Pelodiscus sinensis: one gene and its partners. The protein of the gene in region 1 binds, or shares a complex with, the protein of each later gene. Links are inferred from orthologs where the notes say so. Each region holds a gene or a part of one and is shown on either strand. Other genes may lie near its edges. The genes, in order: VIRMA, METTL14 and RBM15B.

The links.
Region 2: VIRMA (region 1) and METTL14 share a complex: the UniProt entries of both Homo sapiens proteins name them as parts of the WMM complex. The link is inferred for Pelodiscus sinensis from reciprocal best matches to the Homo sapiens genes VIRMA and METTL14.
Region 3: VIRMA (region 1) and RBM15B share a complex: the UniProt entries of both Homo sapiens proteins name them as parts of the WMM complex. The link is inferred for Pelodiscus sinensis from reciprocal best matches to the Homo sapiens genes VIRMA and RBM15B.

The regions. Positions count from the first base shown.
Region 1 is NC_134712.1:40,435,468-40,445,133, forward strand, and holds the start of VIRMA (protein virilizer homolog), read left to right. Parts: upstream 1-4,325; 5' UTR 4,326-4,500; coding exon 4,501-4,680; intron 4,681-8,141; coding exon 8,142-8,257; intron 8,258-8,466; coding exon 8,467-8,553; intron 8,554-9,666. UniProt on the Homo sapiens protein: Associated component of the WMM complex, a complex that mediates N6-methyladenosine (m6A) methylation of RNAs, a modification that plays a role in the efficiency of mRNA splicing and RNA processing.
Region 2 is NC_134715.1:35,213,861-35,223,526, reverse strand, and holds the start of METTL14 (N(6)-adenosine-methyltransferase non-catalytic subunit METTL14), read right to left. Parts: upstream 6,187-9,666; 5' UTR 6,118-6,186; coding exon 6,046-6,117; intron 5,298-6,045; coding exon 5,209-5,297; intron 2,929-5,208; coding exon 2,841-2,928; intron 1-2,840. UniProt on the Homo sapiens protein: The METTL3-METTL14 heterodimer forms a N6-methyltransferase complex that methylates adenosine residues at the N(6) position of some mRNAs and regulates the circadian clock, differentiation of embryonic stem cells and cortical neurogenesis.
Region 3 is NC_134721.1:43,356,581-43,366,246, forward strand, and holds RBM15B (putative RNA-binding protein 15B), read left to right. Parts: upstream 1-3,410; 5' UTR 3,411-3,807; coding exon 3,808-6,495; 3' UTR 6,496-6,757; downstream 6,758-9,666. Other genes in the region: MANF (mesencephalic astrocyte-derived neurotrophic factor), read left to right, coding at 536-677, 2,915-3,099. UniProt on the Homo sapiens protein: RNA-binding protein that acts as a key regulator of N6-methyladenosine (m6A) methylation of RNAs, thereby regulating different processes, such as alternative splicing of mRNAs and X chromosome inactivation mediated by Xist RNA.

The DNA of each region.
Region 1 (9,666 bases):
TTTTGTGGTACCATAGGCTCTGAGGTGTGGTCAAAAATAAGGGGTTCAGTGTGCTGTAGGTGGCTGCTGGGGTGTGGGGTTGAGGCAGTATGTTAGGGTGCTGGAGCGGGCTTGTGGTGGTACAGATTCAGAGTCTGGGAGTGTGTGGGTCTATGGGGTCTGGGCAGATGGGACAGGGGGCTGATTACCTGGGGCATCTCCTGGAGGTGTGCAAATGGCTATATATTAGGGATGTAAAAAAACGGCTAAAATGTAAGCATGTAATTGTTAAAAATGCTACTGATTATAGCTTTATGCTGCAGAGTCCGCAGTGTGTCCAGCTACCTGGGGATAGGGTCGGGGGCTGCAAGCCAGTGCACACCAACTCCTAGCTATTGGCCCTGCTCTTGATGCTGGATGTGCAGTAGGCTCTGCAGTATAAGCTTTACACTACAGATCTCATAGCACAGGGTGACAGCCATCTTCCCAGAAGCAGGGCTGGCAGCCAGGAAAAAACATGTAACTGTAATGGAAGCCAATAAGCTGATGTTTATTAGTTAACAGTTGAAACATCCCTATTCTACATGGCTCTAACAAAAAACAGGACTATGTAGCACTTTAAAGACTAACAAAATGGTTTATTAGGTGATGAGCTTTCGTGGCCCAGACCCACTTCCTCGGTGGGTCTGGCCCACGAAAGCTCATCACCTAATAAACCATATTGTTAGTCTTTAAAGTGCTACATAGTCCTGTTTTTTGTTTCAGCTACACCAGATTTTGTTTCAGCTACACCAGACTAACACGGCTACATTTCTATCACTACATGGCTCTGCATTTGTAGGCAACCACTCCCACTAGCTGCGAGTACTTGCCAGTGGGAGCAACTGGGGTGTAGCCTGTGAGCAGGTTCTCCTTTTCTGCCGTAGAGGGACCTCATAATACAATTAGTCAGCTTCAGTATTTTGGATACCAATAGAGGACTTTTTCCTAGAATTGGCCTGATAATCTCTCTGGGCTCGTCTACACTGGCCCCTTTTCCGGAAGGGGCATGTAAATTTCAGCAGTCGTCGTAGGGAAATCCGCGGGGGATTTAAATATCCCCCGCGGCATTTAAATAAAAATGTCCGCCGCTTTTTTCCGGCTTTTAAAAAAGCCGGAAAAGAGCGTCTAGACTGGCCCCGATCCTCCGGAAAAAGTGCCCTTTTCCGGAGGCTCTTATTCTTACTTCAAAGTAAGAATAAGACCCTCCGGAAAAGGGCACTTTTTCCGGAGGATCGGGGCCAGTCTAGACGCTCTTTTCCGGCTTTTTTAAAAGCCGGAAAAAAGCGGCGGACATTTTTATTTAAATGCCGCGGGGGATATTTAAATCCCCCGCGGATTTCCCTACGACGACTGCTGAAATTTACATGCCCCTTCCGGAAAAGGGGCCAGTGTAGACGTAGCCTCTGTGTGTGTGTGTGTGTGTGTGTGTGGGGGGGGGGGGGGGTGGGGATTATTAGCATCTGGAGCAGGGATTTCCCATCAGGCAGTGCTTCCCTGCTTTCTGTGTCCCAGAGTTCAGTGCAGTTCTTGTTGGACTTTCTGTTCTCCATTCTGTACCAAGGGTCAGCAACCTTTCCGAAGAAGTGTGCCAAGATTTAACCTTCCTGCCTTGGCCTGTGCAGCTCTCTCAGGAGGGGCTCTCTCCGCCATGTGCCCCACTTGATCTCCTGCCCTGGGCTCTGCTCCAGCTTTTCCTGTGGGAAGGGGAGGAACAGCATGCACACACTTCCCTGGAAGCCAGATGGGTGCGATGCCTCGGGGCTTCCCCCACCCTTGCAGGAAGCCGGTGCTGGCTCCAATCTTATGTGAGGTGTGATGCTGGATCACCAACATGGGCTGCCTCGCCCATTTCCCTGAACCCCTCCCCCCAGGCCACCCCGGGGGGAGGGGTTCAGGGAAATGGGTGAGGCAGGGCAGGGTGGTTACCCCAGGGTTTCCAGCCCTGCTGGGGGTGGGGTCCCATGGGGGTCCCAGTTCATGACACCCTTGCTTTCCTTCTAGGGACTCAGGATCCCAGGGGCCAACACGGCTTTGGGGTAGGGGCACCCCCCCACGCGTTTTCCTCTCCCCTCAGCCACCACCACCCAGCCCTGGAGCTGCAGCCCGGGCAGCATTCCCCCGCTAGTGCAGTGGTTCTCAAACTTTTTGGTCTGGACCACCTTGCTCAATGCAAACCTTTCAGTGAACCACCGTTAATTACATAATTATGCATAAGCCATTTTGCTAGTGCTGCAGCTAGGGAGAATGGTTTAATTTAAATTATTAAACAGAATAAGCGTTTTAACTTTCTCATGTTAGTTTATCAAACTTCATTTTAAATTAAAGTAAAATATTAATTTATGTCCAACACAAGATTTCAATGTTTTCTTTGTCAGGGGTGAGGAACTATCAGTTGGGGACCACACAAGTGAGAAGCAAAAAACTACTCCAAAACCCCCCAACCCTCTGAGCCTGACTCCATCACACCCCAGTCTCCAATTTGCCCATTATCTCCTCATCCCTGTCCCTGGCCTCCATGGGTGGGGAAGGCAGGTCTTGGCTCTGTTTGGGGTCCCTATGCTGCCCAATGCAAGTGGGCAGGGAGCCAGGGTAGCTCTCAGGGGTACCTGGGGGTACTGAGGAGCAGGTTCCCCCACCCCATTGCTTCCCCTTCCCCCAGCTTCTCTGCATGCCGGTGAGACTGGGGCAGGCGGAACAGCAGCAACTTGCATGCAGGGATGGGGCCTCAATCCCACGAGTGCGTGTGTGTGTTCCAGCTCCGTGTAGGGTCTCTGATGTAGGGTCTCTGATGTCTGCTGGAGGCAGGTGGGGAGCTGGGGTGCCTCTCAGAGATACAAGGGGTGGACGCAAGTCAGGGCTTTCTTCACCTCCCCCCCTCCCATGCACCTGGAAGCCAGAGCTGGTGCTCCAAGACTCACAACTGCGTGGACTCCAATGAGAGAGGGTTGCGCTCCTGCTGTGGTCTCCACATACCGCTAAAAATGAGCTCGCATGCCACTTACAGCACACATTCTGTAGGTTGCAGATCCCTGCTGTATACTAATGGGCTATGTCTAGACTGGCATGATTTTCCGCAAATGCTTTTAACGGAAACGTTTTCAGTTAAAAGCATTTGCGGAAAAGAGCGTCTAGATTGGCACGGACGCTTTTCCACAAAAGCACTTTTTGCGATAAAGCGTCCGTGGCCAATCTAGATGTGCTTTTGAGCAAAAAAGCCCTGATTACCATTTTCGCGATCAGGGCTTTTTTGCGCAAAACAAATCTCAGCTGTGTACACTGGCCCTTTTGCGCTAAACTTTTGTGCAAAAGGGACTTTTGCCCGAACGGGAGCAGCATAGTATTTCTGCAAAAAGCACTGATTTCTTACAGTAGGAAGTCAGTGCTTTTGCGGAAATTCAAGCGGCCAGTGTAGACAGCTGGCAAGTTTTTCCGGAAAAGCTGCTGATTTTCCGGAAAAACTGGCCAGTCTAGACACAGCCATGGAGTGGTGTGAATGAGCCTAGGGGAGCTTTCAGAGGAGTTAGGTGTGTCTCCCCCCTCCCCTGTCTTCTGATTGACTTTGGTTCAAGCAGAGACTTGGGGGGGGGGGGGGGAGGTCTTTCATTAGTCTGAATGACTCATTCATCAAGAACCTAGTTCAATAATAAAAATGAAAGGTAGCAAGTGCTATAAGAATCACAAAGAATTGCTAAAAGCAGTAACTACTGTTTACTTAAATATACTACTTGAACATTAGCTATTAAAATAAAAACAAATAGTACAGTGATGGGCATTGCACAGGGTAATAAGTAATAGAAATAATATTTGGAAAGGAGCAAAACTATAATTCAAGGGGTCTGGTAGCACTTTATAAACTAACAAAATATGTTGATGGTATCATGAGCTTTTGTGGGCATAGCCCACTACGTGTTTTGTTAGTCTATAAAGTGCTACCAGGCCATTTTTTTCCTGTAACAGACTAACTCAGCAACCCCCTGAAGCTCTATAATTCAAGTGGGTTACAAGGATGGGAGTACAAGTTCAGTGAACCCTGACAGCAGATCAGACAAATCTGTGAAATGGTATGAAACTTCATGTCCTCTCTTTAGCCCCCTCTAAAATGTAGTCAGCAGAAACTTCTACATCGTGTGGGCAGGGGAAGGGCAGTGGCTTCCGCAGAGCTATTGAGCATGCTCCGTAACTCTCACTTTCTGGCTCAGTAGCTCTTCTGAGGGGGAACCACCGGCCCTACCCCCGCGCTGTGCCCGCACAGGTGCAGAAACGAGCTGTGCGGCGATCCTGCAGCAGCCCGCCCTTTACAGGGCGCCACTGGCCCCGGCTCGGGACTGCGCTTCCCGGCTGACACTTTTCCGGGGCTCCGGCCCGCACCAGCCTTGGCCCCCCCTGCTCGTGTGAGACACTGCACCGAGCGCCCCCAGGGTCAGCCGCGGCTCCAGCGCCAGCGTTCCTTCCGCTCCTCCGCCCAGCAGTCGTGTGCGCATGCGCTCGCGCCCCGCCGCTGAGCCTGGGGAGAGAGAGTGGAGGGCGCAGGCGCCGCGAATGACCCTGGAAGCGCTTGCGCTCACCCGGAAATGCTTCCGCAGCTGCGGAGCAGAGATGGCGGCGGACACGGCAACGGAGCTGTTGTTTTTAGACACTTTCAAGCACCAGAGCGCGGAGGTACCGGTGGGGCCCGCCGAGCCACCCCTGTCCCCAGAGAACGAGAGCGGGAGGCGGAGAGTCTTGCCCCTGGGCTGGCCCGCTGCGGGACCGCGAGCGCGGGGAGCCAGGCTGGGGTGGAGCGGGCTGGGCTCTGGCAGCGGCGGGGGGAGCAGACGGGGGCGAGCCTGGGCGGGGGCTGTGGAGGTGCAAGGACAGGCAGGTTGATGCTGCCTGCTCCAGAGCCGGCAAAGGGCCAGGACGTGGAGAGTCCGTAGGAGGAAGCGCGGTGACACGGGGAGAGCGACGACAGCGCGTGAGGGGGCGAGCGGACCCTGTCTCAGGATTGGACCACCATGACATCAGCATGCAAGGGAGACTCCCCCGTATCGCGCTGGGAAGCCCTGGCGTGGCCAGACGCTTGACGAACGCTTCTATGGCTTCTTGTGCATGGGATGATGGCAACGTAGAAATGCGGCGATTAACAGGCGGGTGTTAATGAGGAGCCCGCAGAGTAAGAGAATAGGAATTGCGGCGAGGAGTCCTGTGGCACCTTGTAGACTAACTGAAGTGTAGGAGCATAAGCTTTCGTGGGCAAAGACCCACTTCGTCAGATGCATGACGAATAGGAATTGATACGGAAGAAAGTTGGCAGGTCAAGTGTAGGAGAAGGGGGAAAATGGGAGCGGAATTAAAAACGAGATTTTTAAGGTTGTTTGAGGAAAGATGAGAGGACAAGTCAGGAACAAGAGTGCTTTTCTGGAGCCTGTGGTGCATCTCTGCCTTGCAGCAGTTAATGGGGAGATCGGGAATATTCACTTTAGCTCCTATGTCCTGTGTGTTCCATTGCACAGTAGGTGTAAGGTTCATTGTACTAAGTTCCCAGTCTCAGAGGGTGACCTTACAGAGAGATTCTCCATGTTGTTACCATAGAAGCCCAGTGTTGAAAGAATACTTGTATTGCAGCAGAGAATTTTGTCAGTGATTGTCACCTCACATGGTGGTACTGTGTGGGAGAAAGATGTATCTTAAGTGATCATGATGTCAAGAGTGAAATTGTCAAAAATGGATTTGCAGGAAGTCATTGAGAATTTAACTATCTTCAAAGAAACTAGACATTTATATTGCTGTCTCCTTGGAGTTAAAATGAAAGTGCCTAGTCTTTTTGCAGGGGAAAGAGGTAAATAGCAGCATTTTCCAAGGATCATTCTGCATTGGGACCAGTGCTGTTCAATGTATTTGTAAATGATCTGGAAAAAGGAGTAAACAGTGATGTGGTGCATTTTGCAGACAATACAAAATTATTCAGGATGGATGATTCCAAAGCAGCTAGTGAAGAGTTACAAATGAATCTTACAAAACTGTGTGACAAAGGGCAGGACAGGTTCCTGAGATGCTGTTTGCAAGAAGTTGAGAATGGGTGACACTTGATGATTTACCTATTAATACCTTCTGAACCACCTGGCATTGGCCATTGCTGAAGGACAGGATACTAGGCTTGATGGACCTTTGATCTGATCCACTGTGTCCAGTCTTATGTTCTAGAATCATAGTGTACAGTTCTCTGAAAACATTTGCTCAACTAGGGATGTAAGCAACTAGTCGACTACCCGATAAGCAAATGCTTAGTGGGTAGTTGAGTAGGAACTCAACTAGTTGTTCCCTCTTCCCCCACTGCCTCTGTCAGAAATCAGGTGGTAGATCACTGTTCCCGCTAATATTTTTTCATGCATAAGTGGAATACATTTTGTTATGCACAGAGGCATGTATGGATGTGCACCACCAATAGAAACACAACTTGCTGATTGTGAGTGCTCTACCAATCCGCTTGGGGGGATGGCAAATCTCTCCTGAGTAGCCCTCCTGAGGGCACATTTTACAAGGAATGCCGGTATAGATTACCCCACATCTACCTGCAGCAGGTTCTTACATTTTCCTCTAAACATCTCAGACTGGCCACTGTTGAAATACTGAACTAGGTGGAGATCAGGTCTGATCCAGTGCAGCAATTCCTATGCATACAACCTCCTGCCATTTGTACATACAGCCAAATAGTCAAATTTGGGGCACACAAATGATCTGTCTCTGGTGCACATGCTTTTGATAATGTGTGCTTAGTTCATAGTTGTTGTTTATCATTACTGTTAGCATTATGGCAAGTGCCTAGCGGCAGTGAACATGAGGGCTAGGGATGTAAAATCCTGTTTTATTAGTTAACTGGTTAAACATAATATTTAATCAGTTAACCCATTACAGGGGGATGGGGTGCCCAGAAACAGCACTGTAGAAACACACAACAAAAACTCTTGTTCTTGTTCCTTAGCTTCTAAACATTTTAGAACATGGAAACACACATTTTTTAGAACACTGAATACATTTGTGGCATATGTAAATGGTGATTATAACATAGCAAAATCCTTAATCTTCACCAGGGGAGACTTTAATGTCAGACTTTAGAACTAATCCCAAAGAGGTAGTCTTCCTTAGGAACACAAGAATGGTCATACTGGGTTACGCTAGAGGTCCATCTAGCTTAGTATTGTCTTCCAGCAATGGCCAGTGCCAGTGCTTAAGAGGGAATGAACAGAACAGATAATCTTCAAGTGATCCAGTTCCTATCTTTCATTCACAGCTTCTGGCAGACAGAAGTTTGGGACACCATCCCTGCCCGCCCTGTCTAATAGGCATTGGTGAACTTTTCCTCCATAAATTTATCTAGTTCTTTTTTGAATCCTGTTAACAGTTTTGGACTTCACAACATCCTCTGGTAAAGAGTTCCACAGATCCTTCTTCCTATACGAGTCAGGACAATAGAGTTGCTCTGCATATGGGAGTTTTTCTCTTGCATGTTCACCTATTGAGTGCCATATATTGAATTACAGCTGGAGCACTTGTGGTGATTATATTTAAGATTGGGAGGCAGCAGTGCGGAAGGGAGCGCAGGAGGAGGGAGGGAGGGCAGGCGGCCTGTGGGAGCTGGCATGCACCAGGAGTCATCTTAAAAGCCAGCTCCCCACACATATGGTTCCTGCCTCCTCCCTACCTTTCCCTGCTGCTGCTATAGATACAGAAGGGTGGGGTTGTATGCATGTAAATGAGAAGGTTAACTGTGTACTCAGGCACATGTTAACTTCCCTATTAAATACTGTTTTTGCATAGATCTTGAAAAATTCTGTCTGGAGTCTTTCATATCTCCAACAGAGTCAGCTGACCTTAAACAACCCTCTGGTATTTAAAATTAAACTAGTTTTATTTTTCTATAATTATAAGCTTGACAGTGTTTCAAGTGGCATGCCCACTTGAATTTTGAAAGTAATTTCAGTTCCTCTGCCAATTCTTGTCTTTACAGTCATTTTCAAAATGTTTCTCCCTCAGTTGCTGTTTGAAAGATCAGATAAAAAAGGGAAATAATTCTTATTATAAAGTAAAAACAATATAGTATTTTTCAAGCTTTGCAACTTTTGTTTGCTCTTTGTTTTTAGCAGAGTACCAATATAGATGTAGTTCGTTTTCCATGTGTGGTTTACATAAATGAAGTACGTGTCATTCCTCCAGGAGTAAAAGCTCACACAAGTTTGCCTGACAATAGAGCTTATGGGTAAGTCCAAAAATGTTCAGATGCATTTCCTTTTATATTGTTTGGGACTTGTGAATCACAGGAAAAACTGCAATATATGCATCCACTGAATATGCTATATATATATAAATAATGTGTTCCTTTAGGTTTTAAACAATAATATTAGGGATTTCAGGTTTTGGTTAAGCATTGCCTGACATAATTAATTTTTACTTTTGCTCCATCAACAGAGAGACATCCCCACATACATTTCAGTTGGACCTGTTTTTCAACAATGTCAGCAAGCCAAGTGCCCCTGTTTTTGACAGACTAGGAAGGTAAGAATTTGGGAATGCGTGTACTTTATACATTCATGAGTATTTGCATAGCACTGACTGAACGTTTTTCTGTACAGGTTGTAACTCCCTGATCCGGCAACCTCAGGACTGGTTCCGTCTCTCCCAGTGTTCCCCCTTCTGGCAAGAGCCCCAGCCATTACCCCCAGCACAATTGATGGGATCTGCTGCCCCTGATGGGGTTCGTCCCACTCTGGCCAGCAGGGCTTCCTGCCCCTGGCCAGACTCCTCTCTGGACAGCCGTCCAGCTCTGACTGATGGAGCTCTGCACCCTGGCCGGCGTTCTCTCTGGCTGCAGCAGGGCTCTGCATCCCCAGCTGGCAGGACTCCCTGCCCCTAACTACTGCCCCACTCCAGGTAGCAGAGCTTCTCTCTGTAACGGCCTCGCTCTGGCCATATCAATGTTCCATCTCCCTTGGCCAGCAGGGCTCCCTGCCCTTGGCCAGCAGGGCTTTTCTCCTGGCTGGCCTCACTCCGGTCCAGCAGGACTTCATGCCTCCAGCTGCTCGAGTTCCCTTCCCCCCAACTGCTGGTGTGCTGGCCGGGCTCCTTGCCCCCAGGCAATGGCCCCATGGGCTGCCAGTCGCGGGCAACCTCTGCCTGAGGCTCTGATCCTTGCAACATTTGTGGTCCTGCTGGACCATGGATGTTGCCGGGTTAGAGAGTCCCGAACTATAGAGATTCAACGTGTAGAAGAATGTGCTATATTTCCGGGTGCGTAGAAATGAGAAGTACAGCACAGTATTATTACATCTCTGAGGGAGTTTCTTATTTTTTATAACAAAGGTTCAGAGTCTGATAGTGTAAGCGTTACTGGCAGTAATACTTAATTGAGTAGCCCTGTTCTGACTAATGGAGCTACTCAAGCTAATAAGTATTTATGGTCAGTAATAAATGTTTTTAAGTTTGGACCCTTACATGTAAACACTGTTAATAACAACAGGAGTTCCCAATTTTATGTTTGCAAGCATGCTTCTATTCCCTCCACTATGACCCCACCCTGTTTGTGGACATGCTTAAGATTTCTGTGAGGGGAGCTGGCTCCGTGAAATTTTACAATTTACAATTTTAGAATGTATCTATTCCTTAAAATCT
Region 2 (9,666 bases), on another chromosome or scaffold:
AATTGCACTACTGATTTCTGCAAACCTGAGCTCAACCTTGCTTTAGATAATACTATGAGTTTTCCAGTCTTCATTATATCTTTGGCAAATTTTGGTCTGCATAACCAAACTACAACATAATTAGGCTTTAAGGGCTACCTGTGCTGACTGTGGCTCTTGGATCAGAAAACTACAAAGACTATTGCAGGTTAATACTGCAGAGAGAGAGAGAGAAGCAGGAAAACTTAAATCAATACGATCTGTCTCTTATTTTCATAAACTTGACAAATCAATCTATAACTGCTTATTAATGTTATCCCTGGAAGGAATATTTAGTCTAAGGTACACACACGTTTTACAAAGGAGTACTTTAACTTTTACACTTAGTAGGGATTCAGACTTAGACCACTCATGAGTTTGTATTACTAAATTATTAAATTTAACATGCTTAAGCTAACAATGAAAAAATATTAAGCAAATTCAAAGGCCAAAATTTTATTAAATAAACCTCCCCCCCGACCATTAGAAAAACTGCAGTCTATACAAGATAGTTCTTTGCTGTATTTTAGTCAGTCTATTGGTAATTTTAGATTTTCATGCGAGTAATTAAATAATATACAGGTCTCAAGTCTGAGGCTTTATTCGTGTACTTATTTTTTAAATTCAGTAATATCGCTACAGATTGGTCACCCACCTAAAGCCTTGTGTACACTACCGCAAGCTGTCTACCTCAACTTCAGCTACATGAAAACATAGAGGAAGTCGACATTCAGAGATCTGCTTATCTCAATACAGTATCTTCACCACTGTAAAGTTGACAGCTGACATTCTCCCATAAACTCTGCTTACTCTTCTCTTTTTAAGAGAGCACTAGAGTTGACAAGTCGATTTGTCTATACTAGGGATGTAATAGTGTAGTCGATTAGCCAATTAGCAAAAGCTTATAGGTTAACGATATAGACAACATGCATTTCCCCCCATCCCCACCAGTAAATTTTTTAGCAGGCTGGCCAATAGTCTAGCTTGCGACGGGATCGGCCCCTGCTATGGCTCTCCATTTAAAGTGTATTAGGAGCCAGGTAGCCCAGCTCAGTTCTGGCTTGCACCGGATCCGGGAGCTCAGACCCCCACTGGACAAGGGCTACTGCCACCCTATGCTGCTGCCTCTGTATTAGAGGGAGCAACATGGTGAGACAGGCAGCCAATCTGCGAGGACAGCTAGTTTTTAAACAGGTTCCCCTGGCAGACCAGCTCCTGCCTGACACCCCATACTACAGAGGCAGCAGTGCGGAGTGGCAGGGGATTCCTTAGAATAGGGCTGGCGCACACAGGTTGCCTATCCCACCCCCAGGGACTACAGAATAGTCAAGTAACTGATAAGAATTCATTAGGTTACTCGACTACTCAATTAACAGCTATTTAATATCCCTAATCTATACTAAACGTGATAAATCAACTCCTGCTGTATTGATCACTGCCTGTCAATCCAGACAAGCCCTAAGTAGCAACAGGCTAATTAAGAATAGGTTATTTACTTTTCATACGGTACTGATAATCAGGGCTCGCCAAGCGGCGGCGAGCCCTGCTCGCCAGCCACGCGGTTCTGCACTCTGTGCATGTGCAGATCGCTCTGCACCAGCTCTTCCGGGTTGTAATCTACGCCATGGGCAAGTAGATTACATTATTTGTCGAGCCCTGCTGATAATCTTTGTGTATTAATTGTATGTGTTTTGGTCACTTAAGTATTTTAGAAACAAATTAATTCAATTTACCAGAACACAAAAATAATTGATAAGGCCTATAAATACTTGTTTCTGTATTCTATTCCAATGATACTTTCAATATATCAAAGGCTCACCTTATTTTATGTTTGCTTTCTTTACTCAGCTCAGTGAATGTATTTTTCTCATGATACCCCTATAGCTAACTTATTGTACATATGGAAGTGGGTATGAAACAGACTGTTTCAATGATCCTCCCAATTCCAGTGATTATACTATTTTTGTGCACCCAGAAGTACTATAAGCAACATCTCATTGATTTGATATAAGTCAATAGTGAGTGTCATCGAAAAATAAGGAAAAGGGAGAAAGACAATGGTAACAATTAACAAGATCACAGCTAATCAGTAAGATACACATGCCTTGAGAGTCACTATTTGGTTCAACCTTCTCCACCAATCATTTATCCGAAGAGTCAAAAATGAATTTTTAGGAAGTACTTAAATGAGATAAAGGAAATAGGCTGTCACATATGTCTGGGATAGGTGTCTCAGGAATATGAGGAAGCAAGGAAGACTGACTTTTAACCAACATTTCCTTTGTAAAAAATATCTTCTGATGTCTTATCTTAAACAAAACATGGACACAAACCAACCTCCTGATCTCTCCTTCCAACAAACTCTTTCTTTTGCCTTTACTGAGCACACAAACATTCATCCTCTTTGTCACTTTGCCCATACTTCATGGGAATCTTCAACTCCCTGACCTCATCTAAAGCCAACTCCTACCACTTTAAAAATCCAATCTATTTTGCTTGTACTGCAAGTTCTTGGACAGGAAATCAAAATGAAACCTCTTTGGCCTCTCAGCAATACATCACACCATTTCATTTCATATAAAATTACTAGTTACGTATTCCTGGCCATTTCCTCTGACCATATCACACCTTTCCTTGAATCTGCCCACGTGTTCAACCTTCACCACTATACTCATCAGTGCTGTCATGGCCCTCTGTAATTCTGCCTTTTCACATGTATTCAGTCTGGTCTCTTCCATCACTAGCCATCCCTCCTCACTGTAACAATGCTTTTTTACCATGTTAAAAAAATATTTTCTTTGGACTGTTATTTATCTTTTTACCTTATATTCTTCAATTTCTTCTTCATCAGCTTCTCCCTCATCTGGATATTTGCGTTTTGCATTTGATGCTGAAGTATCATAAGAAGCCCTAAAAAACATATAAAAAAATAGATATAATGCAATTTCTCTTGCTTCACTACATTAGAACATATATTATAACCTATGATTATCTACAATGAATGCATATTGGTTTCTGATTCTAATTTAAGGGTCTGGTTGTACTCTATAAAGCCTAAAATTGCTTGGGACAACCTCTCTGCTAATGCTATAGCTTTCTGACAAACGAACTCTTCTAAGGAGTAGTCTCTCATTTTCTCAAATGTTCACATTGTTATAACCTTAAAATAACACCTTTACTTTGCAGTGTTTTATACTAACCAGACCCAAAACAGTCATATTATAAGGACAGCTGAAGCAGTGAAAATCCAGTAGTCATTCCTACTGACGTTATAATTTCATTAGTGTAAATGTACAGTAACAACGGCCATGCTGGATCAGACCAAAGGTCCATCTAGCCCAGTATCCTGTCTGCGGACAGATGTCCCAGAGGGATGGATCACAACAGGTAATCTTCACTTGATCCCTCCCGTCTCTCACTTCCAGAGAAACAGAGGCTAGGGGCACCATGCCTACCCATCCTGGCTAATAGCCATCAACTCTGCGCTGATTAGGCATCAGTTGGAGTACTGTGTCCAGTTCCGGGCACCACATTTCAAGAAAGATGTGGAGAAATTGGAGATGGTCCAGAGAAGAGCAACAAGAATGATTAAAGATCTAGAGAACATAACCTATGAAGGAAGACTGAAAGAATTGGGCTTGTTTAGTTTGGAAAAGAGAAGATTGAGAGGGGACATGATAGCGGTCTTCAGGTATCTAAAATGGTGTCACAAGGAGGAGGGAGAAAACTTGTTCTTCCTGGCCTCTGAGGATAGACCAAGAAGCAATGAGCTTAAACTGCAGCAAGGGAGGTTTAGGCTGGACATTAGGAAAAAGTTCCTGTCAGGGTGGTTAAATACTGGAATAAATTACCTAAGGAGGTTGTGGAATCTCCAACTCTGGAGATATTTAAGAGTAGGTTAGATAAATGTCTATCAGGGATGGTCTAGACAGTACTGGGTCCTGCCATGAGGGCAGGGGACTGGACTCAATGACGTCTCGAGGTCCCTTCCAGTCCTAGTATTCTATGAACCTAACCTCCATGAATCTAGCTAGCTCCTTTTTGAACTCTGTTAAAGTTCTTACCAGAGGATGCGGTGAAGGCTAGAAGTTCCACAGGTTGACTGTGTGCTGTGTGAAGAAAAACTTCCTTGTGTTTGTTTTAAACCTGCCACCTATTAATTTCATTTGGTGACTCCTAGTTCTTATATTGTGGGAATAAGTAAATAACTTTTCCTTTTTCACTTTTTCCATGCCAGTCATGATTTTATAGACCTCTACCATAGCCCCCCCTAGTCTCCTCTTTCCTAAGCTGAAAAGTCCAAGTCTTTTTAATCTCTCTTCATATGGGACCTGTTCCAAAACCCAATAATTTTTGTTGCCCTTACAGTAACTGAAAATAGTGTCTGTCTCCAAGGATGAATTTGAAGATGGGGTCTAAATTCTACTTGCCTTAAACAATTACTTCAAGGGGGTTCTGAGGACCACTTCAACAGCACTGGAGCAGCCCCCAGCCCTATGCTGGAGCTGGCTGCCGGCTCCATTGCCAGGTCCCACCTCCGGCCAAGCAGCCACTGCTAGCGGGGCACCCAGGCCCACCGCAGACAGAAGCTGATCTGGAAATTGGAGAAGCCCCAGCCTGCAGAGTGCCTAGGCTCCCGCCATGGACAGAAGCAGCTCTGGATGAGAGCAACCCACGGTGGGTTTCCTACAGGGCTGGAGGAGGCCCCTGACTGTGGCAAAGGGTGATCTGCTCCAGCCCCCACTGTTTACCAGTTAACAAGAACTGGTGAGCATTACCCATTTAGGACTCTACGTGGCATTTCAAAGTGGCAGTGCTGCATGGAGCCCAGAGTCTGGCCCCAGGCTCCACACAACGCTGCCGTGTTGAAGTACCTCCTCTTCTCCCCCCTTTTTGCCTCTTTCTGATAGAGGCAGCGGAGGGAAGAGGGAGGAGTGACTAGAGGACTATCCTTAACATCAGCATTTGCTCATCGGTTAGTTGACTAGTCCTTAACATCCCTTCTTGTGACTGTGAAATATTTTTTTAATTCTTCTTTTCTGGTGTGAACTAATGTTTCTTTACTTTCGTTAACATGGATGAAAAAATGCTTGTCTTAAGAAACCAATCCTATTTGCTTCTTCCCCTCTTTCAAAAACCATAGTCTCACACCGTGCAAGATTTCTAACAGAGAACTACATCAATACCAACCTGCAAGTTTCTCTTGTTTCAGCGATCTCCCTCTGATCATCTTTGCTGTTCAATACGGCACCAATACTATCTGCACTCTCAGCTCCCAACTGAAATAAGGGCAACACACCACTTTTTTGTTTGTTTGTTTCAGGCAAAGCATGCAGGCAATTAAAAAAAATGGGTCAAACCCTCAAACCCAACTGACCCCTTGTGATGAAAGTTAGACACCCCGGATCCCACAGTGACATTCCACATGCACAGGTCTGGAGACCAGAGCACAGGAGGGACCTCGGGAGCACACATGGACATGGCGGGTGGCGCCTCACACGCCCTAGGCACAAATCTGCCCCCGCCACTTAGTGCTCAGTAGGAGTCTAACCAAATAACCCATCAGCCAAGCTCTGCAGCCGCCTCCCTAGGAGCAGAGCCGGCAGCCAGGCCACTCTCAGGGCGGGGGCTGGGCAGTAGAAAGTTTAAGCTTTGCACCGCCAAACCCACAGCACGTGCACCCACCGATATTTCCAGCGGGTACACGGTTACCGTTTAACCGCTTTCGCGCTTCCCCGGAGCGCCGCCCCCCCCCCCCCGGGGCCTAATCACCAGCTGGCAGAGGGGCCATGCGGCGATGACGTCACCAGAAGAGGGCACTGGGCAAACCCGCACCTGCCACAGGGGGCCGCGCGCGCGCGCAACACTCACAGCCTCCTCCTGCCCTCCCCCCGGCTCGCGCCTGCCACAGCTGTGGGGGCGGGGTCAAAGGATGAGACCCACCCCCGTACGCCCAAGGTAGCTGCGCGCCGGGAGCGCTACGGCCCTTCCCCCACACGCCCTCTTGCCTAACCCGCCCACCGCTACCTGCTGCGCTAAGAGCTGCCGGCGGAGTTTCTGTCGCTCCCTGATCTCCTGCAACCGGCTGTTCATCGCCATGCAACCGAGGCGGGCACGCCGCTGGCGCTTCCTTAAAACGTCACTTCCGCTTCCTGCCCTAACTTCTCCGGAGACTTCGACGGCACGGGGAGGCCCGAGCGCGCGAGTCACGTGACGCAGCCAGTCGCTTTTTGCCGCAGCTGGGCGGCAGTTTCTGGGGGGAGGGGGGGAGATGCTTGGCTGTTTGCTCTGCGCATGTGCGGCTGGGCCTGACTGTCCAGGCACCTCATGCTCATAGCAGTCAGTACCACAGTCTCCCTTTGCCTCCTCCTCTCCGCCCCTACCTGGGCTGTACTCCAGTAACAGCCAGCTGGGGTGCCTGTGTCTGACTGTACCAACTCCATTGCTGTGTGCCTGCCACAGGGGCTAGTGCACTTTATGCAAGTCAGCGCTGCCCCTTGACTTTCACCCTGGATTCTTGCATTTCCTTGGCTCTCAGCTGGGTCCTGTACCTGCGGGACCAGCTGTCATAATACTTTGTACAGTTCTGCAAGTCAGCATGAATCCCAGAATGCAACAACACAAAAATGTCACAAAATGATATTGCCCCAATGTCACGTCACAACTCCCTCACTTCACAACACAGCATTCACATATTGCAATACAACAGCCACATTAAAAATGCAACATCCTATTGCCAAAATTACTTGAAAGTGAATGGACGGTTATGTTCTGCTTTTAGCAACAAAAAGCATGAACCAGAGTTTAATTGTGCACGAATTTTAATGATATGCCACATAGGTGTGGATCTGTATAAAAGTATAAAAAATAGATTTATGGATGCATAATATGACTACTCCATATGGCTTTCATCATTTTAAATGTAGCACAGTTCTACCTTCAATCGGCCTGCTCCCTGCTCTCCCCGCTATCAGTTACACTGTTTTCTCATATACTGTCTTGGTGAGAATCCTGTTTTTCCTGCTCTCTTCCTCAATCCAGAGATACCACATCCATTCTCTCCCTCTAGAGTTCAGTCCCAACTGTTGCTAACTTCTGGCTTCCCATCTTATCACATCTAATAGCTGAGTTTTTAATTTTTTTTATGCCTACAGTTCTACGTTTTTACATCGTGCCTATGACTATAGACTTCAAGTGGCTCTGTAGTAACTGAGCAGCATTGATTGAATAGTGAATCATACCAGTATTTTGACATTGTTAGATACCATTAGATACTATTTGTTGGATAGCAAATCATACCTGGTAAAAGACACTTACCTGATTATTGACTAGATCTGTGGAATCCAATAGTCACTAACCACATGTATCTTGAACAATGTGGCTATTTGGCTGGTTGAGTATGGCTAGTTCACTATAGTGGCCACTATATAGTGACTACTGCTTCAGAACTGATTGGACTGGTTGCACCATGGGGCTAGACTGTCTTGCAGTTAGACAAAGGAGAAAAAATAGGAAACTAGCATATGAACTAGATCCTAGTTACCAGACATTTGACTGGCTGAAACTGCTTAATGACTTTCAAGTCTATCATTCTTTGATAGAATTAATGCCATAAAATGAATACTCTGCAAGACAACCATGTAAATCTTCATGAAGGAAAAAGCCACTTATCCATCATCTTTTGCTGTGTGTCCCTGGAATATGTATACATATGGCTTTTTTGTTGGGTTCATTTCTGTGTTTCAATTTAAAAGAGAGAGAAAGAAAGATTAAAATCCTTTTAAAAACATTTGGTTGTAATCTCCCATTCACAGCTGCTTCCAGTACTGACCTTTCAACTGTGTCATTTATTTGAAGGGTTTTGTATAAGGGATAACCATCAGTTTTGCAGAAATGCCTAGATAGCAAGAATTAGAATGATATTTAATGAGGATTTGATTACTTTGGAACTGTGAATGATGTACATGTATGTGTGTGTGCATGTGAGGAGCCCTTTTCCCATGTAAAAAATGCAATTTCCAGTATTTTTGAGGAAAGACATAATATTCAGACAAAATTGCCAATAAAACAATGGGAAAATTCTGAATAATAAAAGTAAGCATCATCGTATCATCAAGTATTTACACATATTACTGCAGGTCTGTCGTTGCTTTTCTTCAATAGGATGCTGTGACAGATATGGCAATTTCCTGCAACATCCTGGACAAACCTTATTGAATTAAGATTAAGTATTTCAGAAGTTCATTGTATTAAAATGCAAATATTATTGTGGACTGTATGTAACTCCTGTATGGGCCATGACCATGATTAAAGTAAAACTTGGGAAGTTTCCGGAGTTTCAAAGGAGTCTTTGAAATTATGTGCTAGCTAAATAAATAAAATTAAGTGAGATTTCCAGGAAACACTTGGAAGAAAGAGAAAGCCACTTCTCATTTCCAGACCCATCCTTTTGATGCTGCAGCCTGAGGAGAAACTCATTGTCTACTGATCATCTGTTTCTTTAGGGCCAGACCAGAGTCCCAGAATAGATAAAAAAGCAATTCATAGATAGAGACTGGCTTGGATTGCATCTGCATCTCTATCTGCAAAAATGAGTCGCAGATACCCGCAATGACATCCACAGATGCAGATACCCACGGATATAAAATGTATATCTGCAAATTTGGAGGGAGAAGATACAACATTTCTGAAAAAAATGAGCCACGGATATTCACATCCACAGATGCCCACATATATAAAGCGGATATCCTCAGATTTGCTTGGTTCTACTCTCAGATTAATGGGTGTGTTCATTTTGAGCTAACATCTGTTATGAATTTGAGATTACAGGAAAACCCATTGGTGGATTTTAATATTCAGCAGCCAGAGTCCTTGTTGGAGTGAGTGGGTTATTGCTAAGAAGCTTATTAATACGAATATAGATTCTTTCATTGCTTTTTAATATTTTATATAATGCTCTTATCTTAAGAATAAAAATGCTTGCTTCCAAAGAGCTATGTGGTAACTTAACTGTGGCAATTATATTGTTTATTTATATTGAGAAGACAAAGCAGGCCAGCTGAAGCAATCTGCATAGCTGGAGGATTCACAATGTAATGGGAACTGTGCAGTCTGGAAATACCCTGTCAGAAGGGAGAGCCACACATGTCTTTCTTTGCCCTTAGACAGGAGACAGCAATTGGAGTTGGAAGCTTGAGAGTGGATCCCTAGCTGGATCACAACGGTTAAATACATGGTCAGTTGTCTTGAGGTATGACAGATGCAGGTGTGTTACCTGATCCTGGTAAAAGTCCCATATTCAGAAAGTCCCACTGTGTGACTGTAAACTTTTCCCTGGTTTCAAAGTTTTAATGCTGCCTAATTTTCAATAATCTTTTTACATGTGTTGGGGTCACTGGGCATGATCCTAGGTAACTCGGAGGAGTGGAAGATCAAAAGAATTGATGAAGCGCCCCACTCTAGGCCCAAGCACCCTAAAAGCACCCCCCCTTCCGCCACTTTCCCCCTCCCAGGCATAACTTTTCTCTGGCTCACTAATAGCTGGGAACAGCAAGACAGACCTTGAGGTTGCCTAGTTACTATCAGTGGTATAGAAGAAGAATTCAGATATGTCTCTGTAGAGGGGAGGAGGAGGATAGGGCTGGCAAC
Region 3 (9,666 bases), on another chromosome or scaffold:
GAAAAGGCCAGATAAGCCATTTCTTCGCAGCGTGTTCTCTCTGCTCCTTATGGTGCTAAGGTGTTCCAGGCTGTAGAGTGAACATGGGGCTGCTATTCCTATTCCCTTCCCCCCCCCCCCCCTTCACTTAGCTCGCTCTAGAAATCCAAACCAAAGCAGCAGGGTTCAGAGTCTTTACCAGTAGTATTGTCTACTCCACTGGATAAGTGGCGAGGAGTCCTGTGGCACCTTATAGACAAACTGAAGTGTTGGAGCATAAGCTTTCATGGGTAAAGACCCACTTTGTCAGATGCATGTAGTGGAAATTTCCAGAGGCAGGTATAAATATGCAGGCCAGAATCAGGCTGGAGATGATACCTCCACTGGATAAAACACTCTCGGGTAGAAGCATGGCAAGACTGAGAGATTTGTAAAGCAGAAAACTCAGGGTGTTTGGGAGGGAGGGAGGAGGCAACCAAAAAAATCAGCTGAATCCTTCTGAAGCATCCTTTTCCCTCAGTATCACTAGACACCTCATTCTTTTCTTCCACTGTAGTGCTATTACCTTGGGGCCACCAGTGATGCAGCCACCAAAATGGTTAATGAGGTATCAAAACCTCTGAGTCACCACATCCCTGTGGAGAAGATCTGTGAGAAACTGAAGAAGAAAGACAGCCAGATCTGTGAGCTAAAATATGGTGAGTTTGGGCAGACATTAGCTAAGTGGTTAAATAGTTGGGCTTTTCTACAGTATGGTTCTTTGTTCTGATAAGTAACGAACTTGCACCCTGTCCCTTAATATTGCAGAGCTGAAGTGGAGGGGGGAAGGTGATGAGCAAGTAGCCAATAGTGATAGTTGACTACTTGCTTACATCCAACTCGGAGTTCTTCAACAGACATCGGTTTATCTAGGCTGCAACATTGTTTATGCCTGGGATTAGGTAAAATCCTAGACTCTCAGTGAGTCCCCTAGCTGCCTAGGTCCATCATGAAGGCACCACTGATGTTCACAAAACCACTGCTTGGCTGCTGCCTAAGTCCTAATACTGTCCCACAGCTAACAAGTTGCATGGAGCCCTGCCAGGATTTTCAAATAAGCTGGCTCCCACCTGTCTTGCCTAAAGAGCCCAATCCAGCAGGTGTGCTCAGAGCACATTTTTCATTTTGCTCTTGGCTGTCTTGGGCAGCTTCCTGGTTAGCTTGTTGGCTTCTAAGAGTCCCTTTCTTGTGTGTGTCTCTCCTCATACAATGTGTGGGGGCCATGAATGCCATTGAGCAGTGCAGCACTGCAGTAGTGAGCATAGCAAAGGCCTAAGTCCCCTTTGTGCCTTTAGCCCTTGGCCTCTAGTTGGGAGACTCTTATTTGGAGTGTAGAATAGTACATAGGAAAGATTTTTGTGGGGAACAACCCAGCCTCATTACAGATTAACTAGGCCTAAGGCTATTGGCTGCAGTTGTTAAATGCATTTATTCAGGTAACCGTGAAACCGCATACAGAGGCAGTGGGGCAGGTGGGACCATGTAACTGTGCACATTAACTGATGAGCCTCACTGGTTAACCCAGTACACATGTACATGTTCACCCTCCCTAGTGTTGACTACAAGCTTCTTGTTACCAAATCCTATCTAAAGATATTTACAAGAGACTAATTTTCATTTTTAATGGTCCCTCTTGATTCCCTAAAAGTCTGCCTTCCAGTTCTGCTCCAACAAAACTGCTCAAAATATTCTTTCCTCTTCTGCTGCTCTCACTAGGGATGTAAAATCCTGGTTAACCAGTTAAAGGTTAGGTCAACCTAACCTTTAACCGGTTTAACGACTAAACTGGAATCCGGGCTGGGGACTGCTTCAGTCCAGCTGGAGCAGCTCCTGGCCCCAGCCCCACACTGAGGCTGGGTCTGTCACCAGGTCCTAGCTTCCACCTTCTGCTAGAGCAGCCCCTTTCTGTGGGGCGCCTGGACTCCCCATAGACAGAGGGGCTACGTCTACACTGGCATAATTTTCTGGAAATGCTTTTAAGGGAAAAGTTTTCCGTTAAAAGCATTTTTGGAAAAGAGCATCCGGATTGGCAGGACGCTTTTCCGCAAAAGCACTTTTTGCGGAAAAGAGTCTGTGGCCAATCTAGATGCGCTTTTCTGCAAAAAAGCCCCGACATTTTTGCCATCGGGGCTTTTTTGTGGGAAAGAGATCTCTGCTGTCTACACTGGCCCTTTTGCGCAAAAGTCTTTTGGAAAAAGACTTTTGCCCGAATGGGAGCAGCATAGTATTTCCGCCAAAAGCACTGACAATCTTGCATGAGATCGTCAGTGCTTTTGCGGAAATTCAAGTGGCTAATGTAGACAGCTGGCAAGTTTTTCCCCAAAAGCAGATGATTTTGCAGAAAAACTTGTCAGTCTAGACACAGCCAGGCTGTTCCAGATGAGAACAGTCCCTGCCCACAGCAGGCCCCTTGTGGAACTGAGGCAGGGTCCTGCCTGCAGCAGGTGGGGCGCTGTTCCAGCACCCACCAATTCCCTGGAACTGATAAGCAACAACCCTACCTAGCTCTGACTAAAGCAGTATAACGTGCCAGCCTCTTCACTGATTCCATATGTCCTAATGTGTAAAATTGTCTTCAGTTTCGTGTCATCTTGTTGGCCTGCCTCATTGCAAAATAACACCCCTGGTATGTTTGTTTAAATCTTATTTCCCTTTTCCTCTCCCCTTCCTTTCTGTTTTTATATTCCATTCATTGTAATGTAGATTGTATCAGTGAGGCAGTGCCTTGTTTTTAATGTCCTCAAGAATAGGCCTTCTCCACTGAAGGGGACAAAACTCAAACACACTTTACTGTCCTGTCCACTTCATTAATATGTTATCTAGTTAATCTTGACCGCCTGTAATAGGCTTGTTTTTACTCATTTTGAATAACCAATGTTCCCCCCTCACTCTTCAGACAAGCAGATTGACCTGAGCACTGTGGACCTGAAGAAACTGAGAGTGAAGGAGCTGAAGAAGATCCTGGATGACTGGGGGGAAACGTGCAAGGGCTGTGCAGAGAAGTCAGACTATATTCGCAAAATCAATGAACTGATGCCTAAGTACGCTCCGAAGGCCGCCAGCTCCCGGACGGATCTCTGACCCCCCCCCCCCCCGCCCCCATTGCGCTGTTCTCGGTGGGGTCCCTCTTGCCCCTTTTTGTAAGTTATTGCAGCGGGCGGCCAGGCCGGGCGGGGTGACCGGCTCGTCTCCCCCCCCCCCCCCTTTGTATTGCGGGGCCGCCTGCGGGTGGTGCCGCCGCGGAGACTTTTGTATTAAAGTGTGAAAGGAAGCGGGTCTCTCTCTGCGCCGCGGGGGGGGGGGAGCGGCACAGGCCGCCTGGGCGCGCGCTGAGGCGGGCGGGGCGGGGCGGGGTCCGGCGTGGGAGGGGCTGGATACACGAGGCCGGTTCCACAGGGTTCGCCCCGCCCTGGGTGGGGGGCGAGGAGCGCTATGGCCGCTGCCTGGATGCGTAAGGCCCGGCCGGCCACCGCCCTTAGTTCCCCTGCGGCTCCCTCTCAGTTGGTCCCGTCCGAAGGCGAGGACGTAATGATCGCTTTCTCCATTGGTCCTTGTCTATCACGTGACTCCTCCCCCCCGCGGACGACGGAAGGGCTTCCCTTGTCACGTGATGAAGGCGCCGCGGCCCCAACTCGCCATCGCTCCTGACGCCGCCATGCAGCGGGGCGCGGGGAGATGACGTGTGGCCCGCGCGGCGCGGCGGCCGGACTCCGGAGCCGCCTTCCTTCCCTTTTGTCCAAGATGGCGGCGGCCGCCGGAGGCGCCTGCTGAGCCGCGGGCCCCGGAGCCATGAAGCGGGGCAGCGAGCGGGACCCCAGCCCGGGCGGCGCGGGGGGGGGCCGGGCCGCCGCCAAGCGGCCCCGCGAGCGCGAGCGGGAGAGCAGCAGCCGGCGCGGCCCGCACCGCAGCTCGGGCGCCTCCCGCAGCAGCCGCGACAAGCTCCCGCCCGGCGGCGCCTCCAGCTCCCGCAGCCACCGCGGGGACGAGCGGGCCGGGGGCGGCGACTCCAACCACCGCGCGGCGGGCGGCGCCTCGGCCTCCAGCGCCCGCAGCAGCCAGGCCGCGCCCCCGGCCGCCGCCTCGTCGTCGTCGCGGGCGCTGGGGGCCGCCAAGGCCAAGGCCCTGCCGGGGGCCGTGGTGGCGCCGTCGCTGCTGCTCGCCGGGCCGCCCCCGGGGGCGGCGCCCTCCTTGCTGCTGGCCCCGCTGGGGGGCTCGCCGGGGCTGGTGGTGGAGCCGCCCGGCTCCTGCGAGTACAAGACGCTGCTGGTGAGCGGCCTGAGCACCGCGCTGCCCGACCAGCTGCTGGAGGACGGGCTCTTCCGCCAGTTCCAGCGCTTCGCGAGCGGGGGCGCCGGCGACATCAGCGTCAAGCTCTCCCACACGCCCGAGCTGGGCCGCGTCGCGTACGTCAACTTCCGGCACCCGGGGGACGCCCGTGATGCCCGCAGGCACGCCCGGGCCCGGCAGCTGCTTCTCTACGACCGTCCCCTCAAAGTGGAGCCTGTGTACTTGCGTGGGGGTCGCAGGAGCCGCACACCCCCGCCTGTGCCCTCCCCAGAGCCTCTGGGCTACCTGCCACCCATCCACAGCACCTACCAGTATAAACAGAGGTCACTGTCGCCTGTTGCCAGCCCATTGCTGAGGGAGCCACGGCCCCGGCATGCTCATGCGGCCGCTGCAGCCTTCGCCTTGGAGGCTGCTGCCCTTGGGCTCTCCCGGGAGCGGGAGAGGGCACTGGATTATTACGGGTTGTATGATGAGCGTGGCCGACCCTATGGCTACCCCATAGTGGCTGAGGAAGATCTGATGCCAGAGGATGACCAGAGAGCCACTCGAAATCTGTTCATTGGGAATTTGGATCATAATGTCTCAGAGGTGGAGCTCAGACGTGCTTTTGAGAAGTACGGCATCATTGAGGAGGTGGTGATCAAGCGCCCTGCTCGAGGCCAAGGTGGGGCCTATGCATTTCTCAAGTTCCAGAACTTGGATATGGCCCACCGGGCCAAGGTCGCCATGTCTGGCCGGGTTGTTGGCAGGAACCCCATCAAAATTGGCTATGGAAAAGCCAATCCTACTACACGACTCTGGGTGGGTGGCCTTGGACCAAGCACATCCTTGGCTGCCCTTGCTAGAGAGTTTGATCGCTTTGGTAGCATCAGGACTATTGATTATGTGAAGGGGGATAGCTTTGCCTATATTCAGTACGAGAGCCTGGATGCTGCCCAGGCTGCTTGTGCGCAGATGAGGGGCTTCCCCTTGGGTGGACCGGATAGGAGACTTAGAGTGGATTTTGCCAAAGCTGAAGAGACAAGATACCCCCAGCAGTACCAGCCTGCACCACTCCCAGTGCACTACGAGCTGTTACCTGATGGATATAGCAGGCACAGAAGCCTAGAGCAAGACTTAAGGGTGAGAGATAGGACTCCTCCACATCTCCTGTACTCAGATAGAGACAGGAGCTTTGCAGAGGCAGATTGGGCTAGTCCTGCCAAAAATGCTGAGCGAAGAAATAACTTGGAGAGCTACGGCCGATCTGTGCGTAGCCGAAGCGGAGAACGTTGGGGTAGTGACAGTGACCGCAGTGTGCCCAAGCCTTGGGAAGAAAGGCGGAAACGCCGGAGTCTTTCCAGTGACCGTGGCAGGATTACTCATTCGCCTTATGAGGACAGAGGCAGGACAAAGGCCAGTGGGCCAGCTTTAGATCGCAGCCCAGACAGGGTTCGCAAAGAGAACAACACTACAGAGTCTGGAACAGAGAGGGATCAGAGTAACTCCCTTCAGAACAACCGGCACGTATCTGAGGAGAAACCACATCGTGAAACTTCTGATCTTCCTCAACCTAAAAAAAGGGACAGCGAACGCAATCATCGGACTGGTGAATCGGAATCAAAAACTCACGAGGAGCCAAAATCTGAGACCAAAAAAGTAAAGAACTTGTCAGAATATGCTCAGACACTGCAACTTGCTTGGAATGGGCTTCTTGTGCTAAAAAATAGCTGCTTCCCCACGTCTATGCACATCCTGGAGGGAGACCTAGGTGTAATCAGTGGGCTCTTAAAAGACCATTCATCTGGTGGGAAGTTAACACAGCTCAAGATTGCTCAAAGACTTCGGCTTGACCAGCCCAAGCTGGATGAAGTAACTCGCCGTATTAAACAAGGCAGTCCTAATGGTTATGCTGTGCTACTGGCTACCCAAGCCACCCAAGGAGGGGTAGGGGCTGAAGGGACCTTTCCTGTTGAGCCTGGCTTGCAGCGAAGGCTTCTCAGGAATCTGGTCTCTTACTTGAAACAGAAGCAGGCTGCTGGGGTGATCAGCCTGCCTGTGGGAGGGGCAAAGAGCAGAGACAGCACAGGCATGCTTTATGCTTTCCCTCCCTGTGAATTCTCTCAGCAGTACCTTCAGTCAGCACTAAGGACATTGGGAAAGTTAGAAGAGGAACATATGGTGATAGTTATAGTCAAAGACACTGCCTAGCCCCCACTGTCCCTTCAGATTCCATGTTTTCTTTGTGTGTGTCACAGCCCCATTGTTTTTAAGACCAATCATTTTTGCAAAGGCCCAGTAAACCTTAAACAAAATTGTGAGATTTTTAGTTTCTAATTAATTTTAATACCATTTGAATAGATCTCATTTTATTTGTTTTTAATATGTGACACTGTCCACTGTGTTCTGTATTTTTATTTTTTAACTGTATGGAAAGTTGTCAGTAAAGCCTTGTTCACTGATGGATTTTTAATCTTGTGCAGTGTCTTGGTTTTTATGGCTCAGTGAGGGGCTGGTTCCCTCACCCAAGAGGTAAAAGATGATTACTCCCTCCTTTTCGCGTGTCTAAGAGCTGTACATCCCCGTCCTCTCTCCAGGTGCTCTGGAAGGTAGGGGGAAGGCTTCTTAATGATGTATGAGAGAAATGTAAATGTCAATATTCTTGATCTGTTTGCTTTGTATATTTTAATTTGAATTTTGACTTTTCTGCTAAATCTCCAGTATATGATAGATGTTTCCCGGGTAGATATTTCCAAAGAAGTGAACCCTGATGAAACATAGAAATTAACTTTTATTAACAGCCATTTAACACTTGAGACAGAAGCTGCTAGAAAACATTCATTTTCTTACCCATTCAGTCACAGAGACTCAGAGCACCAAGAAGCAACAAAATATGGAAAGGCAAGGCTTGACATTCCTGATAATTTGAAAGGGGGGGGGGGAAATGAGGCAGGACTAACCCTCCACACCTTTCCTTGCTGGAGACAGAACCCCTGGGGTCTCTCTCATAAACAAAGGGTGCAAGCTTAATTTCTTTGCATAGGGCAGAGCTTGACTCATTGCACTCCTTTATTAAAAATTAACTGCCAAAGTTAAATTGTTTGCAGGAGTCTAAAGGAGGAAAATACCTTTGATGGTTTAAAAACAATTATGTACTGTTAGAATTAATTTTCCTAAGATCCTGAGAAGTCTTATCATGGTAAGAGCATAAACAAAGAATGGAATCTGTGAGGTGGTTGTCAGATTAAGAAGCTAGGACGTTTGCCTCTGATGTCAGTATCTTAAGGCTGGGGGTTAGCCATTCCAAGAGTGCAAGTCTGATAGTCTTTAACCACAGTCTAGAGACAAGTTTCTAGGATTTACAAAAATTTAGCAGTTTGCCTTTGAGTTTCCAGACTTTTTTTCTATTGTAAATCACTGTGAGAGGCCCCAGAATCTTGCACAGCCAGACATGCAAAGTTGCCAAAGGTCCGTCTAAATCTGTGCTGTCAGATAATAATACTGGTATGACTGGTAACGGAAGCTATGTAATTGGAAAGGTTCGTTCACTCTAATAAAGCCCATGTAGCCTGCAGAGATTCAGACCAGGGACAGCACTGGTGGTGCATGTTTGGTTGCTTGATTCCGAAGGATAAACAATTTGTTGCTTTTATTTATTACTGTACGTAAATTAAAAGTTGCTCTATTGGATGAGTTTATTAATGAGGCTTCCAGCTAGACTCACTTTTGTTACAGGTCAGCCAGATTGAAAGCCCTAATCAACCGCGTTGTGGCCAAGTCCCTAAGTGCTCTGGTCGTGTTTTGATGATCCCTTATGTAACCTTTCAGCACGTTGAAGCCTTTTGTTTTCTGAAACTAACGATGCTAGTCTACAGGGTGAGCATTCGAGTGCACACATTCGTGACTGAGGGAAGACAGTGCAGTTATGTCCCGCCTGTTATTGCCGCGCCCTAATGCACTGTGTGTCTTCTAGTGCCTAGCCTGGTTGGGTGGAGTGGCAGCGGCGGCTTGTTTGTTAGATGACCTCAGCTGTCAGAAGGCAAGCTGCAGAGGAGACGCTTCCCTGAGGCCAAAGCCAGAAAACTGTTACGTGAGCTCTATAAGGCCACGGCCCCCGTCAATCATCGATAGACCCTCAGGTCACGAGCCCTTGTGCTTTGGCCAGTGAGTGCGCTGCCTGATTTGCTGTTCAGTGGGGCTGTATGTTTATGAATGGAGACCATCATTTCCTAGATGTAGCGCTGCCCCTGATGTCATGGGTGTTCAGGCAGCTACCAAAACTAGACAATTCAGTGACTAGGAGTTTGTGTCTGGCATAAAACGTGTGGCCCAGATGGCACAGGGCAAGCGCTGGTCCTGGGGTGTGATGCTCAGCTCTAGAACTGTCCCACCCCCATACGCATAACGCTTCCTTCAAGGCAGGGCCTCAGTGATGATGCAACAGGAGCCTGGGAGGCATGATGGGCAGTAATGTCATGTCCCCCATCATGTTATTCATATCTACACTGGACCATAGAAATGTAGTTCTTAAAGGTGACTCCTGGCTGACCATTCTGAATGGATGAGATTTGGGGGGCAGGTCTGAGTGATAATGGAGTCCAGACTAGTCTCTGCCCTTGGGAAAGGCACCAAAACAATTGCCCCCACTTCTAAAACTAGACCTGGGAGCTGTACTGCAGAGTTTTGCTATTTTAGTAAAAGCAAAACACCAGCATCACAGTACAAAGGGTTCTGCTGTGGCTACACTAGGGTTTTCCACTGGTTTTAACAGTAGTTCAGTGAGAGGAGCCCCTTTGGCTTGATTTCTGGGCAGTCATGCTCTGCTGGAGAACCAGGTTGCTAGGCCAGAGCTGATTAGAGCACAAACTGTTTAGTCATGACTCCAGCTGCAACCCTCTGATGGCGCTGCCCCCAAGGTGAACAGCCTGGCACTTCCCCGTGGGAGAGTTCGAAAAGCACCTGATGCCACGTAGAGAACAGCAGCCGCGTTCTGTTTTGTTTGTGGTGTTGGACCAGCAAGTCACCCCGGCTGAAGTGGCCCTGGAGGCAGATGTGAGGGTGTCGACCATGCACAGAACCACTTCGTAACAGGCTTGTGGAGGGGGTTTAAGTGGCCCAAATAGTTAATTTCTTGAGTGTAGGCCAGTGAACAACAACTGATGATGTCCCACTGTGGGAGGGGGGCAGAGAGTAAAGGCCTCACCCCCTGTGCTTCTGCTGCCAGCAGCCTCTGTCCACAGGGAGCTCAGGCCCCCCAGGGCACCAGGTTTTTAAGTTGCCCCCCCCCCCCATGGACTGGCTCTCACCTGGCACCCCACACTGCTGCCTCTGATCTGGTGAGAGTGAAGCTGCAGACTATAGAATAGTCCACTAAGAATTCAT